Arabidopsis thaliana: one gene and its partner. The gene in region 1 interacts genetically with each later gene. Each region holds a gene or a part of one and is shown on either strand. Other genes may lie near its edges.

The links.
Region 2: of DML1 (region 1) and DCL3, changing one suppresses a phenotype caused by changing the other (phenotypic suppression), as found in Arabidopsis thaliana (one study listed by BioGRID).

What each region holds. Positions count from the first base shown.
Region 1 is NC_003071.7:15,308,803-15,316,523, forward strand, and holds the start of DML1 (demeter-like 1), read right to left. Parts: upstream 6,006-7,721; 5' UTR 5,796-6,005; intron 5,554-5,795; 5' UTR 5,471-5,553; coding exon 5,337-5,470; intron 5,254-5,336; coding exon 5,138-5,253; intron 5,036-5,137; coding exon 3,905-5,035; intron 3,812-3,904; coding exon 3,440-3,811; intron 3,335-3,439; coding exon 3,244-3,334; intron 3,151-3,243; coding exon 2,253-3,150; intron 2,179-2,252; coding exon 2,099-2,178; intron 1,977-2,098; coding exon 1,892-1,976; intron 1,815-1,891; coding exon 1,723-1,814; intron 1,647-1,722; coding exon 1,578-1,646; intron 1,489-1,577; coding exon 1,452-1,488; intron 1,368-1,451; coding exon 1,285-1,367; intron 1,127-1,284; coding exon 701-1,126; intron 499-700; coding exon 462-498; intron 371-461; coding exon 313-370; intron 240-312; coding exon 100-239; intron 21-99; coding exon 1-20. UniProt on the Arabidopsis thaliana protein: Bifunctional DNA glycosylase/lyase, which excises 5-methylcytosine (5-meC) and 5-hydroxymethylcytosine (5-hmeC), leaving an apyrimidinic (AP) site that is subsequently incised by the lyase activity.
Region 2 is NC_003074.8:15,751,570-15,759,572, reverse strand, and holds the start of DCL3 (dicer-like 3), read right to left. Parts: upstream 6,026-8,003; coding exon 5,892-6,025; intron 5,805-5,891; coding exon 5,630-5,804; intron 5,497-5,629; coding exon 5,383-5,496; intron 4,987-5,382; coding exon 4,852-4,986; intron 4,756-4,851; coding exon 4,682-4,755; exon of another isoform or gene 4,571-4,681; coding exon 4,507-4,570; intron 4,432-4,506; coding exon 4,300-4,431; intron 4,204-4,299; coding exon 4,051-4,203; intron 3,921-4,050; coding exon 3,791-3,920; intron 3,706-3,790; coding exon 3,600-3,705; intron 3,521-3,599; coding exon 3,328-3,520; intron 3,240-3,327; coding exon 3,079-3,239; intron 2,997-3,078; coding exon 2,671-2,996; intron 2,472-2,670; coding exon 2,200-2,471; intron 2,115-2,199; coding exon 1,594-2,114; intron 1,514-1,593; coding exon 1,419-1,513; intron 1,312-1,418; coding exon 1,082-1,311; intron 994-1,081; coding exon 784-993; intron 702-783; coding exon 234-701; intron 144-233; coding exon 1-143. Other genes in the region: AT3G43910 (MutS2), read right to left, coding at 6,884-7,036, 7,124-7,243, 7,336-7,382, 7,468-7,573. UniProt on the Arabidopsis thaliana protein: Ribonuclease (RNase) III involved in RNA-mediated post-transcriptional gene silencing (PTGS).

The sequences.
Region 1 (7,721 bases):
ATCGCTGTTCTACAAGGAATCTGTACAATTTACAACATATTAATCTGTAGAAAACATAAGTGTAGTAAGCCGCATAAGGAGATTGATGCAACTACTTACCAAAATTGTCCCTCTCACAATTTGAGATCTAGTCTCCTTGATGCTGTTGCAGGAGAAACAAGTCTCCTCGTCACAAAGCATACCATTTGCTTGGAATATGCACGTACTAACAGACGGTTGAATAGAATCAGCCGTCTCACCTGTTGAATAACACATCGATTAAAGATACCGATTTGATTTCATGATTAAAAGATATGCAAATCATTAAATTACCTGGCGTCCATATAGCAAGCAAATAAGAACATGGATCATCAGGTTCTCTCTTTTCCAACTGCCACAAGAAATCACAAACAGCTAGTCAGATTTTACAATATAGACAGCACTCTATACGGCATGTGTCCTTATCCAGTTAGCTCACATACCTGAGCTAGAAGAGGATGCTCGTCTGGAAGTTCGTAACTGCAAGATACGGGAAAAGAAACAAGTTATGGCATAGCCTGTAATTATTGGGAAGTTTGTCTGCTTTCCAACTTACGAGTTCATGCTTGGTCAATCACTTAAATATTCTACTCTGTTCAAGCTTTAATAATTTTGAAAAATGTGTTTCTGATTTCATTTTTAACCTAAGAACGAAGAAAAACAGAGAAAAATGGATTCTTACACTCGGTGTTCTGTCCTTAACTGGCTGATATTCTTGAGCTTAGGCATTGGAAGAGAAGCAGTTTCAGCAGTAAGTGCAACTAAAGCGCTGGACATGTTTCCGTCTTGAAGTTCCTTGTTGTGTTCCATTATCTTCTTCAAGTTACTGGTAAATGCATCCATGTTTAGCCTGATGGTAGGAATTTCTTCTGGATCCTCAAAAAACGCCTCCTCTATGTCAGCTATTGATACTTCTGCGGTTTCTGGCTCCGGTGAAGCAGGCTCTTCGATGATTGGTTCACAACATGTGACCTTTTTTGCTGGTTCTGAGTGCTGTACTACTTCAGACCCTTGCTCTCTCTGGAATGGCTCTGGCAGGTGTAGAGGCAAAGGGTTTTTATCAGGTGTCCCCATACCTTTCTCTGTACTTGGTAAAGCAAGCCTTGCACTGTAAAACAAATGAATGTTACTAAATTTTCTGTAATGATGATTCAGAGCTTCGTTTAGATACAGACCAATTCTCATTTAACTGGGTTATATTTTAACAAGGACTTTCCTCATAGAGTCATAGTGGTACTAAAGGTTTAAGAGAACATGTTGTAGCACCTTGCAAACGCACTGGCAAAATGTCTGCATTCTCCTTTCATCGGACATGCATTGCAATTAGGTTTGCTCTTTGTGCAAAAGACCTGATACAATAATCAAGCAGATTACAAACCTCATCATGTGAGCTGATTTTGACATACGTATATATGTATTTCTTTAATACATACCTTTCCAAAAGTAATCATCTGGTAGTGCAACTCATACCTGTGAGATAATAGGGTATTAAACTAATGAATAAGTGTATTAGACTGAGGCATGAAAAAAAAAAAGTTAGTGATAAACATCATTCTTACAATGTTTTTTGGTCGAGTTTGCAGAGACGGGGCCAAAGATACTTTTGAATAGATTCAAGCATAGGATACCTAGACAAACCAAACCTCAGATGTATTAAGTAACAAATTACAATTTCCAAGTAGGACCATTTTGAAAAGTGCTTACATTTCCAGAAGATGCAACTGAAGTGACTCTGGGAGCGGCTGAAGGGGCACCCATCCAAGTCTGACGGCTATGCGCCCAACATTTGTATCAACCTGTCAATAAATTAAGTTCATGCATCATATAATTCACTTTTTATAGGGACAGAAACAAAAGTTTGATCCTTGCTTACTGGAAAGGCAAGATGGTGAAGTGTTAGAAGCCGCACACACTCCACACTTTTCAGTCCCAATCCGTTAAAGCTCAGAAGATATTCTCTGCAGGGTTTTGTAATATACGAGAGTACATAATTCATTATTAAGTCACTAAAACTGCCAAAGTAGTAATCTTTGTATAGGTTAATAAAGAAGAAATAAAATGCTTCGTCTTTCAAACTTACTTTGCTTTATCTGGTGGAACATCTCTCAACCATTCAAGATCGATACTTCCATGGTCATTTACCAGTCGATCAAGGAAGCCCTGCATGATTTTCATGTTCAGAGTCAAATACTTAAAATGAATGTTATCACGAAATTTAGCCACTAAATTTTTACCTGTATACGTTCTGCAAGTTTATGGTTCATCCCGCGACTCTTGATTGTTTCAGCAACTTCCTTAACATCTGCTGCTCGTATTGCCTTCCAATCCACGGTGTCCATTGTACTTCTTGTTTTTTCTCTAATTCCTGCTCTAGCTTGGGCTTCTCTTCTTAAACAATCCCAGTCAAACGCTTTTTTTTCCTCCTTCAAAACCTTTTTCCCTTTTTCTTTTAAGGTAGGTTTCTGACAACTCAAAACATCCCCATCTTGCTGAGAGCAACAACCAGGTTCACTACTATCAACAGAGGATTTTGTGGGCTCTTTCATTGACTGGAAACCCTTAATTTCTGAGCTACAATCACCCGGAGACATATTTGGTGATACTTGATTGGAATCTTCTAGAGAGACTTGTACCCCCTGTAGGAGCTTCATAAAGGAAGTACGATACTCTCCTTCTAAGTCGATCTCTGAGCTTGATCCTGCTCTCTCTGTATTTTGAGGAGCATCAGACACCATCGAATGTTGACATGTAAGTGCAGAATCTTCAGATGGAAACAGGTTCAGGACACGACACTTCTCATCCGTCTTATCAACCTCTACACTTGAGCCTTTTCGATCTGAATCAACATACTCCTTTGAATCCGTGGTTTTGTCAACTGATTCATGGGCTGAGATGGCAATCTCACTACTGCTTCTGGAGGTTTCATTGCTAGGTACATAATCCTTCTCCTCATCAGGCTGTGTATTTTTCAAAGTAACAGAACTGTGATTGTGATCGGGTGGGCTTGACATCGTTTCCTCTGAGTCCAAGTACGTTATTTGAATAGAAGGCATCGAGCTTGTTCCAGCGTCAAAGTTACTGCTCGGTACAAAAGGGACAGGGAACTGGGAAGCCAACGACATGAAAGCCGAACTACAAGGAGTAAAAAACATCAAAGCAAGTTAGTTTTGTGACTTTTTGCTGTCTTGGATTTAGTTTGACATAGAATTATGTAAGAGCTTGTACCTTGAGAGATGGTCTGAAACATTTTGAGTGAGAAATACTCCAACAACAGAATCCACGACGGATCCCTTCCAAGGCGTAAAACGTCGATCCCCTGTTAGAAACCAAAGACCATAACAAGAAGCAGTAGCTGAGACATACTAATTGAAACCATGTGGTTAGAACAGAAACACATAAAAGGACAAGTGTGGTGTATAACCTTGTACAAGGTGCATCCTTGCAATAAATGAGTCAGCTCGTCCTCGAAACACATTACGTTCTTCCTCCCACCATTTCGCCTTCTGCTCGTCTGATCCGTCAACACCTTCGCTATTAATATTCTCCAATAGCAGTTTCCACACTCTGTCTGTCTCATCGTCTAGATCAACCTTTGGTCGTGGGCGTGGTTTTTTAACAGGAGTTACAGGCACAATTGCTCCAGCGCCACCACCAAAGAGTACAATCTGGCTATTCATTGTGTAAGGAACGAGAGCAGTTTCAGAATGCTCCCTGTTGATGTCTAATAGACGCAATAGCTCACTGATTGTTTCGATCGAGTTACGTCGTTTCCAAAGTTCATCTGGAGAAAGACCTGCAGGAATCAAACATCATCATTATCAAGAAATAGTCTGCATTTAACAGATTCAAAAAAACAAAGAAATATAGTTCTGTATCTATTCATTACCAGTAAATGAAGGTGGAAAACGGCAAAGATTCGGAAGAAGATTTTTCTGTTTGGTTTGTGATTTCTCAGACTTGGTTGGCTTCTTTTTGCTCACAGTCACCCGCGTATCAACAAGAATCTTATTATTTTGCTGTGGCTTGCTACAATATCCTGAGGTTAAATGCTCAGGAACTTCCACAAGTTTATTCATTGAAGACAAATTCCGGAATCGAGCATGGCCTGTTGTTTTCTTCTTGATCGGCGTGTCTATCTTATCCGAGAGAACATTTAGCTCAGACTCTTGCCTTCCTTGAAAGATACCTTCTCGTCTTTCTTCAACGGTTAGGACTCTATTAGCACTGAGCTGAGATGTGGAACTGTAGCACGTAGCGTGAAAGGCAGAAACATAATTGTGCTGTTGTCCAGAGAATACTTTGCTGCAAATGGCATCATATCTCATCCCTCCCTGTTGCAAGTTTGGGGAATACAACCAATGCATTTTCTGGTAGTCACATTGCTCATCATACTGAATCCCTGATAGATTCATGTCGCAACAAGTTGGTCCTTGTCTTCTCTTTGCAGCTTGCGCCATCGAAATATCGACTTCTTCTAGATTACTGCCATTTTTCTTTGGTTGAACTCCCTTTCTTTTACCTTGGCTGCGCTTTCTCTTGGGCGTGCTAGGAGCCGAAAGAAGGCAATCTTTTAACTCTTGATTCCCAGAATCTAACTGCTTCTCTTGAAGAGCTGATTCCATCTCACCTGCTTCTCTAATGTCACCGTTGGTCTGGTTTTCTCCATTTTCGGCTTCAAAATCCAAGACTCGTCTACAGAGCCTCTTAGGACGAGTTGAAGTTTCAACAGCTGCTGATGATTCAACCGGAGTAGCGTCTTGATCCTTACTGACTTCAACCTTCTTCCGCACATATTTCCTCTTTGGTGTTTTGCTTTCTTGACCATCGGTGACAACAGACTTCCTCGGAGCTCGTGGTTTAGGCTCCCTCTTGGGTTTAGCTTCTCTACGAACCTTTGGCCGATGCTTCTTCCTCTTAGGTTTTTCAGGAGTCTTGAGGATCTGTTCAGCAACATTGTTACTCACTGAGCTCAAACTCTCCACTTCTTCAGTACCTTTTTGCATAACCTCTGTGTTTCCTACATTGAGAATCACATCTTTCTCAGTCCAACTCAAACAGAATCAAAATTTGACAAAGCGATTTCATTTCTCATGAGACCAGAATCAAAATCCCCTCTTACTTGTAGGTATTGGAGTCTGACCAGAGAATATGAGGGATGCAGTGTTAGCTAGAGCAAGCAAATCCCCAAAAGACAAGTGATCAAGACCACTCATATCCTTGTTCCCAACAAATCTCCTGCATGCATCAATACCTTACTTAACCAATTACCCATCACTACTCTTTGAAATTTCTCAACTTTAGAACAAAAAAGCACAAACCTTTCCTCCAATTGACTGCTATGATATTGATCCTCCACCGTGTATGGGCAGATCGGTGAAAATGGCTTCATGGGTGTCTGAGGAATCCATGGAGGTTGTTGAAAGCTGCTTTCTTCTCTCCTCTGTTTCTCCATTTCTGACTCTATTTTTACTTTTCTTCACTCTTACTTAAATCAGAACCATTTGAGAAAAAGCTTGGAACTTTCTATTTTTTCCACTGCAAAAAGTTCAATAATTTCTTCAATAAAAGAGATCACCAATTTTTTTTAAAAATCACGATTTTATAAAATGATCAGATCCACTTTTTTCTGGGGTTTTAGAGAAAGAGAGATCTCCGGAAGTCATTGATTTTGGGTGAGTGGCGACATGAACGATTAATCCGTTCGTTAGGTGAAAGAGAGACTTTTTAGATTCACAACAAAATGTAAAAAAAAGTAAGAAAAAAACAAAATTCATTACCAGTAGAATCAATGGTTATGGTGGTGATGGAGAGAGTTAGTTCGGTGGTAGCTATGAGAGGATAAGATCACTGATGCTTCGTTTCTTCTCTTGGAATCGATGAAGTTAAAGAGTAATATAGAAAAAGCTTTTTTGGCCTAACGTATAAAGAAGAGGATATAACATGTGTTGTTGTGTGTTTCACTATTTTTCATAACCGTTTGTTTATGTAGGGCGAAAGTTCGTTTGGTTGGCGGGAAAAGTTTTACGGAATTTTATTTTAAAAATAATGATTCTTTTCTACAAAATCTCCTAGACTATGGGAAAGATGATTTAAAAAGTTAATAATATTGTCGTTGTTATCGTCATCGTCATCATCGTCTTTTCTGTTATCTTTTTCTCTTTAAAATTTCGTATTTTTTCTCGTTTACGTAACTATTTAAAATTATATGAACTAACTAATTTTATAATTAATAGAAATTATAAAATAATCTTAATTTTGCTTTAGATATAAAATAATTAGAACTTTATTTATAAATTTATCATCAAATTATGATTTAAACAAATAACATGTTATGTAATCCACGTTTATAATTTTGATCAATAATATATTATTTTGCTAATTTTTACGTAATCTCATAAATTTACACGTTTTCGTTTACATATGCAGAAGTTAAATGATTCGTTTTAGAATTATTATTTTCCACTGATATGGGAGCTAGTGTAGTAGAGTGATTATTAGGCTAGTTGCCCAACGAGTCTTTCGTTTTTGATCATTCCAAATGTTTTAGTCTAGTACGATAGGAGTCAAAATACTGCACCATATGTGTGAAACTGTGAATGTGTGTGAAAAAAAGAGTAATTAGTGTGCTAACCTTTGATTTCCTGTCATGCAAGAAACCTTCAAAGAGACGTACATGAGAAATGAGTATTGTAAATCATTTATTTCATGGACTTGGTTGGAATCTTAGTGAATCGTTGTTGTCAATCTTAACAACTTGTTGGATTGGTTATGAGCCTATGACTTATGACTTATGAGTGAGTCAATGGTGGTCATAACCTAATGATTGGGTTATGAGCAAAGAAATTTGGAATTTGTAAAAAAAAAAAAAAAAATCAAGAGCTTTTTTGTGTGGACATATCTATCCTAGAAACTGAGACGAATAATAGTGGATAAAAAGTTGGGAACGGATTATTCGAATGTTTAAAACTATTATTGAAAACAATACAACTAAATATGGTACAAAAGTAAACGAATTCGTATAGCTAAACCTAATTCAAATTACGAAGCTAATCCATACTTGGATCCTAAACGCTTTTACTTTTACTTACGGTTTCTTTTTCAAAAAAGTTTTTACAAATTTGGGTTTGTCTTATGAAGATTATGGCAGAAGAGACTGATCAAAAGTGAATGCCTAATTCGGTTTAATCCATTCAAGTTTATCTTAAACAATGAAACTGACCATGAAAGTGAATTCAAAGACCAAATCAAAGAAAAATTAAACTGATTTAGTTGTAATATTGGTATTGAATTAAACTATAAATAGAAATAACCAAACATATAACCACAAAAGAAGACTATTTATATAAATATATGAGTTGGAAGTCATTTTTGGACTATTATATAAGATCTAATTATCACACGACGTGTGGATGTATGGTTAGCAGAGTTGTGTTCAGAGAGTTCGATAAAGCCATCACTCCAAACATACAAAATATCCATACATTGATCCACCAATATAACCGGCTGTGTGCCAAGCAAAGTGAAGCTTAGGCCTAACTAGGGTTCTCAAAAGTTCAAAATATAAAAAATATTTTGGCGTCGACCTTAAAGTCCTTGCTTCATCGACTATAGTCTAAAGCCGGCATGCCTAAAAACCTCATATAAATCGTCGCTTGTTACTCGATCATACTCTGTAACTATAAATATCCTGATCTTAATTATAA
Region 2 (8,003 bases), on another chromosome or scaffold:
ACTGCAACTTGCGCAAAATTTTCATTGTTTACACATGCAGAACGAAGATCGGTCATCTCTCCAGGCCCAGTTTGTTCGTAGGTGTTAAAAAGATGACGGGTTATTAGAAAATCCAGTACAGAATCGCCAAGAAACTCTAATCTCTGTTTGAGGAAAAAAATGATAGCATGAGGTTGGAAACCTGGGAATAAGTCAGCCAAATAATGCAGGGGTTGAAAATGATGAAGTCATACCTCGTATGAATAGGATTCACGAAGAGAGGAGTGTGTGATAGCCTCTTTTAAAAGAAACTTTGCAGAGAATTCATGTTGGATCTTTCTCTCCAACTCTATGAGCTCATCTTCTTTAGGAATGTAACACCGTAGAGAAACTCTATTGATGGCTTCAACGACTAGGTTTGGGTCAAAATCGACGTCAATACCGAGCCATTTCATCATATGGAGAGAAGCAGACAATCCACCGCTTACATAATAGGCACCAATCAGGGCCTCAGCGCAATCTGATACAGATTTTGAAACTACCCATCTATGACCCATGTCGCAAGACTTGCCTATTTTGATAGTCATGTTTTCTGTGAAGAATTTTGGGTCCAATGGTACTTCTCTAGTATCAATCCCACACTTGCAAGGAACAGGAAAAAGAGAAAATTGACCAGGTGCAGTCCAGCGACGCGGTTCAAAAGCGCCATTTCTTATGTATCCCTATCAAACCAATCCCCATGGAAAGATATTTCTTTGGTGTTCTGACTGATGTAAGACATTACTTGCAAATGTTAGAAGATACCTGTAGTTTGCGACTGGTTGTCAAGCGGTGAAGATTTGAGTTAGATATAATCGATTGTCTCTGCCGTGATAGTTGCCCCTCATCTTTGTCAGGATACTTAAGGAATAGATGACAGCTCGCAACATACTTCAAGACTGAATCCCCGAGCAGTTCCAACCGCTCCATTGAAAATGATTCGGGGCATGTAAGTGTTGTAACTGCTTCAAGAATCTGATTTATTGAACCAAGACAAGAGTTTAATGACAATCAAGATATCTAGTTTCATCTCTAAATGACAGATAGTTTTCAAAAACCATACCGATGTACTTGATATACTGAAGTTATCTATGCTACAATCAATCTCTTCCCTAAGCTGGCTGGCCAACATTAGAGACTCTAGGCGGTGCATCACTGAAGGCAGCAAGTAGATTGATTTTAGCACAGCACGCGGTACATCAATTCTAGCCAAAAGCTCTGGAGGCAAATGCGCATGGATATTCGGTTTTCTTTTCCTAACATTGCCAGCTTTTGGTTCTGTCTTCACAACCACTGTCCATTTACATTGGAAACAACATCTTAGAGCTCACACACTACAATATCATGAGAACATACACAATGATTCCATATGTTGGAGAAATTCTCAAGAATCAACTTACTCTCTTCATTGAAGTCGACTAAAAGGTTGTGCGCATGGTGACTCTGCTTCAACTTCATCAACGGCTGGTTCGGGTGCGCTAAAACAATCCCATACCTGATTAAAAGGGAATAACATTAACTAGAGAGTTATGATAAGTAGATTGAAAGAACAGCCAAAGCTAGAATATCACTTACTTTTTGTTAAAATATTCTGCATAAGTAGCATAGCCTGATGAGGCATCCACCTCAAAGGGGCTCATAGCAGAAGAATCGCTTACGGCTTCAACTATAGAGTATATCCGTCCAGTATGAATTGCAATGACCACAAGTTCTTCGAGACTATTTTTATCAGACGAAGCATTGGCAAAATGAATCAGATTCGTTTCTTCCATTTTATCGTCTAGTAAGACTTCCTGACCGGATGAGGTATTGCACTGATTCCCATCACTATCCCGAAGATCAAGAAGAGAATTTTTCTTCAAGAACTCAACTATTGAGGCACAGGAGTTGATAGCTGACCAATCAATTGTCGCACTCGAAGCTAGATCATTTGTTTCAACTGGTAGCAGTAGAAACATAAAGGCAGGGTGCCAAAGAGAACTAGTGTCAGTTTGAAGCAAAAATTCTCTCTTTGTTCCCTGTGACTTAGATCCAACAAACAACTTTCCAAACATGCCATTAAAGAAAAACTGCTGAAAATATTTTGCTTTGACCAGCTGCATCCAAAACACAAAGAAGAAGACATCAAGTTCAAACCATGAAACAAGAAACTGTTTATAACTAGGGATCAGAGTTATGTACCTCCTCTTGACTCAAACGTATCTGGCCACAAGGTGAGACAGAAGCCTTGACAAGCTTCCTGACCAAGTAAAGGTCCATCTCAACTTTACCAACATCCTCGGCGAGAGTTGACTCAAGCAAAAGAGAGAAACTCGAGTATACTTCGCCAGAAATATTACAACAGAAGTCAAACTTATAAGCCTGAAAGGTGGCGCCATCAATATTTTCTCCCCAGGTTCCTGACAATGCGTTTGCACAGGTTGTTCCGTGCAACTCCTTACGTTTTTTTGAACCTGTTCAGCGAAAAGAAAAAGAAATGTATACATAAATAAACAAATTAAGACAAGCTCCATGACCTTAGACATAGACATATGATATGCAACTGCTGATGTGTGCGTGTATGTGTGTGATACAACAGCGGCTGATAGAGGAACTAAAGACTAAAATCAGCGACACCAGCTAATTGACGAATTAATAAATTAGAAAACATACCTGCAGCCGATGAAGATGATTTACTTTTAGAAGAGGCAACCTTCTCTTTGCCGTTGGATTGTAAGAGATTGTTATCCAAGCGTAACTTTTTACACGGTGGTAACTGCTCATTTCTGCTAGGAGGATCACTCATAGTTTGTGTGGAAGCTGCTTCCTCAGATACAGTTATGTTAGAATCTGGGATAACCATGGATCCAATCTCCTTCACACCGTGTCCATTTTTCACTGGAGGTGGACACGATTTCAAGTTTGGAGCTTCTGGATCTTGAATTAGGACTTCTCTTCGCATAAGGTCATGCAGATGGTCTCTTTGCTTCGGGTTCCCTCTACAATAATTAGTATTCAGAAATAAGCTACAAAAACTGGAATTTGGTAAACATTTTGTGTTAAATAAATATTGCTTCCTACCTTTCAAGAAACATGATAGACTTAGAATTACTCTGTTTGGCATGTTTTTGAGACTGCGAGTAACTACACATTGTTTTGGGCAGGTCAAAACAAACCATGCATGAGCAATCTGGAACCTGAAATCCCTCTTCAACCACATCTGTGATGAATAAAAGATTCACCTACATGCATTAAAAAGCTTTCAGAGAAGACAAAATAAAAACATTTCTCAATCTATAAAACATCTGACTGTGATGAAGAACAGGTAACCTTGCCATGTTGAAATAAATCAGGGATTTCAATTTGCATTTTCTGTGCCGATACATTGGTGGAGGGGTTGTTTTCGGTTAAATACAAGACATTAAGGTAAGCCAAAGAGGCTTCTTTCTTAACGAATCTTTCGATCACTTTCGCAGTTATAATTCTCTCAACTAAAATAAGGCACTGCTTTTGCTTGTCACCTCTGCAAGCAAATTGAAATTGTCAGAACAGATGGAGATCTTGGTGCAATTTTGGGAGTTGGATAAACAATTTAAATTTACCTAAAGGAATCCAATAGATGGAAGAGTTCTTTTAGCTTTGGAGATACATGCCCAGAAATTACTGCTGACAGATGGTTTTGCTGCAAATCTACCAGACTCTTATCATCTGTTAAATAACACAAATGATAAACAGTGTAAAAATTAGTGACTAGAAGAGGACTCAATGCAATATAGAGCTTTGAATACATTACCTTGCGGCAAATACACCCCAATGGTGGATAAAATATCCTCAAGAAATTCCTTGCACACCATTGAGCATTCTTTATAAGTTTCACTTTCCTCTTTCGTATCTGAGATTTTCTCCAAGCAGACTTCAGCCGCCTATCGCGAAAGCAAGATGAAAAAAAAAAGAAAAATAATCAGCACAACAGGTATGCTAGCGGGAGAAAAAAGTAACAATGAGTAAGCAAATGAAGAACTGGTAATAAAAACTAAACTGGTAGAAAAATACCAAGTGTGCGCAAATCAGGCCAAGATTATCAAGGCAATGCAAAATCTCTCTGTAGTCGATAGACAATCTCTTTTGATATGTCTCAAACTTATTATCCATATTCAGAAAACTGTCTTTTCCCAACTCTTGAAGCCTTCTAAGAGAAGCATCAAACTGTACGAAAAAAAACAGAATATTTTTCAAGCACTCTGAAACATAATAGGAAAGAGTCATGTTCTGGATCATATTCAGTGAGCATATATTATATACCTTGAGGTGTGAAGTTTCTAACTTTTCTTTCAATTCCAAACTACAGGATGGTGATGGGTTATACAATATTGGACCTTCTTTAACCGTTGTAGCAAACTTTTCCACTCCTTCACGCTCTTCAGGATTAAAAATCTGAATTCAAAGTAAGATTGCATAGCATTAATTTGTAAACTATATCTGTTTCCTTGTTACACAAAAACAAAGTACCTTTGAGTCCATGAGTCTCTCAAGTTCTGATACTTGAGCTGCATAGTTAGAGGGAGAGGAAACACTTGTAGTATGAGTTTATGTTCCTTACATGAAGTTCAAACATTAAAAAGTAGTTACAGGAAGCAGGATCTTTGGTTTGGCATACAGAGGAAATAAGAAACTTTTAAATAGCATGCCTTTTCTAATGACGGCTGACGCAGTCAATCCAAATATCTTCGGTTTGCTAGTGGATTCGTGATAGAATTCCTTCATGAAAACAAGAAAGAATCTAGTTCGTTGACAAGTTATGGAAACTCTATTATGAAAAAACTAATAGAGCTTATCATTACTGAGAAAACACACCTTCATTAACTTCGCATAGGGATGATTGCCAGTGGTATGGTGGCATTCATCTATTATTAGAAGACATACCATCTCTAGTTTCAGGAATGCACTTCTAAGGACATCCAATAATATTTGAGGAGTCATAACTAAAACCTGAACCATACAAAACATAATTTCATTGCAGATAATAGACTCACGTGGATTCGGCAACAAAAGAGAAGTATGTGATTCTGTTAGTGAGATCAATGCAGTCACAAATCTACGTCAAGGGCTCAAGCAAACAAGTTCAAACAAAATAATTAAGAAATAATCAGCATTGGAAGAAGAACCAACCCCAAAAGTAACAAATTGGAATGGGCTTTTAACTAACTCAGAGAACATTCATGACTCAAAATACAACAATGAGCTGGTCAAAGTGGATTACAACATTCTGCCAAAGTTTCACTAACCACACAAAGAAATTTTGATATAAAATCACCAAAACTACAAGCAAGTCACTTTGTTGGCGTATAACTAGCCAAATATACACAAAAAGAAACAGAAACTTACATCGTGCTTGCTAAATTCCTCATCCCAGCGCTGAGATGTCCATTTATCAACTCCTTTAGCTCCAAAGTACTCTTCAACTTTCAAATTCACAAGTGCTCTGATCTCACAGCATTGCTAAAACCACACACACCAATAAAACATTCAAAAATAAGCTCCCAAGGCGACTCATTAGCCAACATCATCAACTCAAAATGATTAAAATCCAAATGAAACAGTTTTTCTTTTTACAATCAAACAAGAGACTTGCCTGTTTAACAAGATTCACAGTTGGGGCCAAGAAAATTATCAATCTTTTGTCTGTATCAGAAGAACCCATAGCTTTGATAAGCCTCTTAGTGATCTCTGACTTATCAATCCCTGTCCCCAAAACAGCAATTATGTTCCTGTTCTTAGCAACCTCGTACACTTTCAATTCATAACTACTGCCAAAAAAAAAGTAAACTTTAGTGAAAAAGACTAAAAACCCATAAGACCCAAAATCAAGTACAAAGAGAGGAAGATGATGATACCCATTAGAGTCAGTCATCATAGGAGAAGAGACAGAATCAAGATTTTGATCTCCATCGATTTCAGAGAATTTTCTCTTAAGCGAATTGCTTCCCCCACCTTCCTCCATTTTCTCCGGCTCCAACGACGAATGCATGACGAACGGATAAAAAGGAACACACTTAACGGGAAGAGTAGAGGAATTTCGAATTTCGACTTTGAGATTAAAACAAAAAGGTGATTCTTTTTCTCTTTTTCTGCACTGACCACTGGGCAAGTGTATAAATGAGGTCAGAACATGAGTTTCGAATGTTGAATTTTTAACTAGAAAAAAAAACTGCAACAAAATTAGTCAAACTATATTAATTTTTGGGTTACCTTTTTTCGATACTTTATTTTTGATTTTACTCTTTCTTCAAATATTTAGGCCTCTAAGGCCCAATGGACCTGACAAGATGCATAGATTCATTGGATATACTGCTGATTGATTACTTTTCTTCAATGTGCAAGCTGTTTCATGTTGTAAGTAACTTCGCTTTTTTTATTTATCCGGGTAATCTGGTAGAAATGTACTAAAATACTTTAGCGTGGACTTCTTCCCAAATAAACACCACAATGTATGTTCCGAGTTTGGAATGATTTTCGACTAAAAGAAAGCTAAAAATGTAGAAGAGGGGCTGACTTATGTTAATATCATCTAATTCTAATGTCTCTTTCAACCCGAGACAATTTACCTTGTTTTGTCAGAGATTATTTATAATTTGTTAGGTCATGAGGATTTCGGTCGGGTTAAATCATAACCAAACTACATTAACAACTCTCACCTTGAAAATTAGATAAATATAGAAATCGAAAAATGACCAAATTTTGAGAGATTTTGAATACGGAAAAAGAATAAACAAAATATTTTTTTCTAATTAGTGAAGAATTTTCTGAAAGCCAAAGGAGCAGAGAAAGAGATGCAATATATAAGTGAAATCACCAAAACATTACTCATTTTTACATGTTAGATATGTCACTTAATTTGAGAAAATGAGTAATATCTTGTATCACTTGTAGCATGACCATATGCAGCAATGAGTAGTGCATTAGCTCGAGCATTGTCGTCAATTTTCGTTGTCAATTTAAGTGATGGAAACATTTCCAGTGCGAGTTTCCTGCCACCATCCTACGAAGAGAAAAGCAAATATTTTTATTGCAATTGATGTGAGGATAGACATGAAATCATAAAAGTTTGAGAGTTAAGATTCATCACCAAACTCCAAATACTAAGATTAAAATGTTTGTCCCATGTAGAAGGAGTAACGTAAATAACAGAAATGCTAGATGTGAGAAGTGTCCATAATCCACATCCAAGTCCATCATTGTAGGCAGTCTAAGATATAAAGACACAATCATGTTTCAGTGTATCGAATCCATATCATAAACGTACTGAAGTAAAAAAAAAAAGAGATGAGTAATTTTTACAATAGCGTTTTCAGGATGAATATATTTCGCTACAAATGCCTTGGTTCCTACAACAGTGAAGAGACCAAATTGATTTTAAACATAACGCAAAGAACACGCCACAACAAAAACACAGTGAAATATCGTTCTTACCGGATGGAACATCTAGACTACGAATCAGTTCTAGCATTGATTTTTCGTTGAAACTACGTGTTCGGATGTTTTGAACTACAACTTCCAACTGAGGAGTATCATATACCTTCACACAGATTTAACACACAAAACTTAATCCATATCAAAATGACTAAAGTGAATTTTCCACTGTATTCACCAAGAGAACAGTTTACAAAGCATGTCTTATTTAACTTAAGGGATAGATAACAAAACTCACTAACTCAATAGTTACAAACAGGTTAATTAGTTGTAAATCTTCTATCATCCAATATTAATTTCATTCATATAATTCCTATAGATAACAATCGAACCTTGTATATATAAATTATGATAAACCAAGTCCATCTGCCTGAGATTACCCAATGAAATATCGAACCTTGTATATATAATTTATGACTAACCAAGTGCATGTCCTGAGATTACCCAATGGAATATCTTAATTTACTTCACAAACCCTAGAATCTTGTAGTTTCACAGTTCTAGGGTTTCAGAAGAAAAACAATATTCTTTTCGAA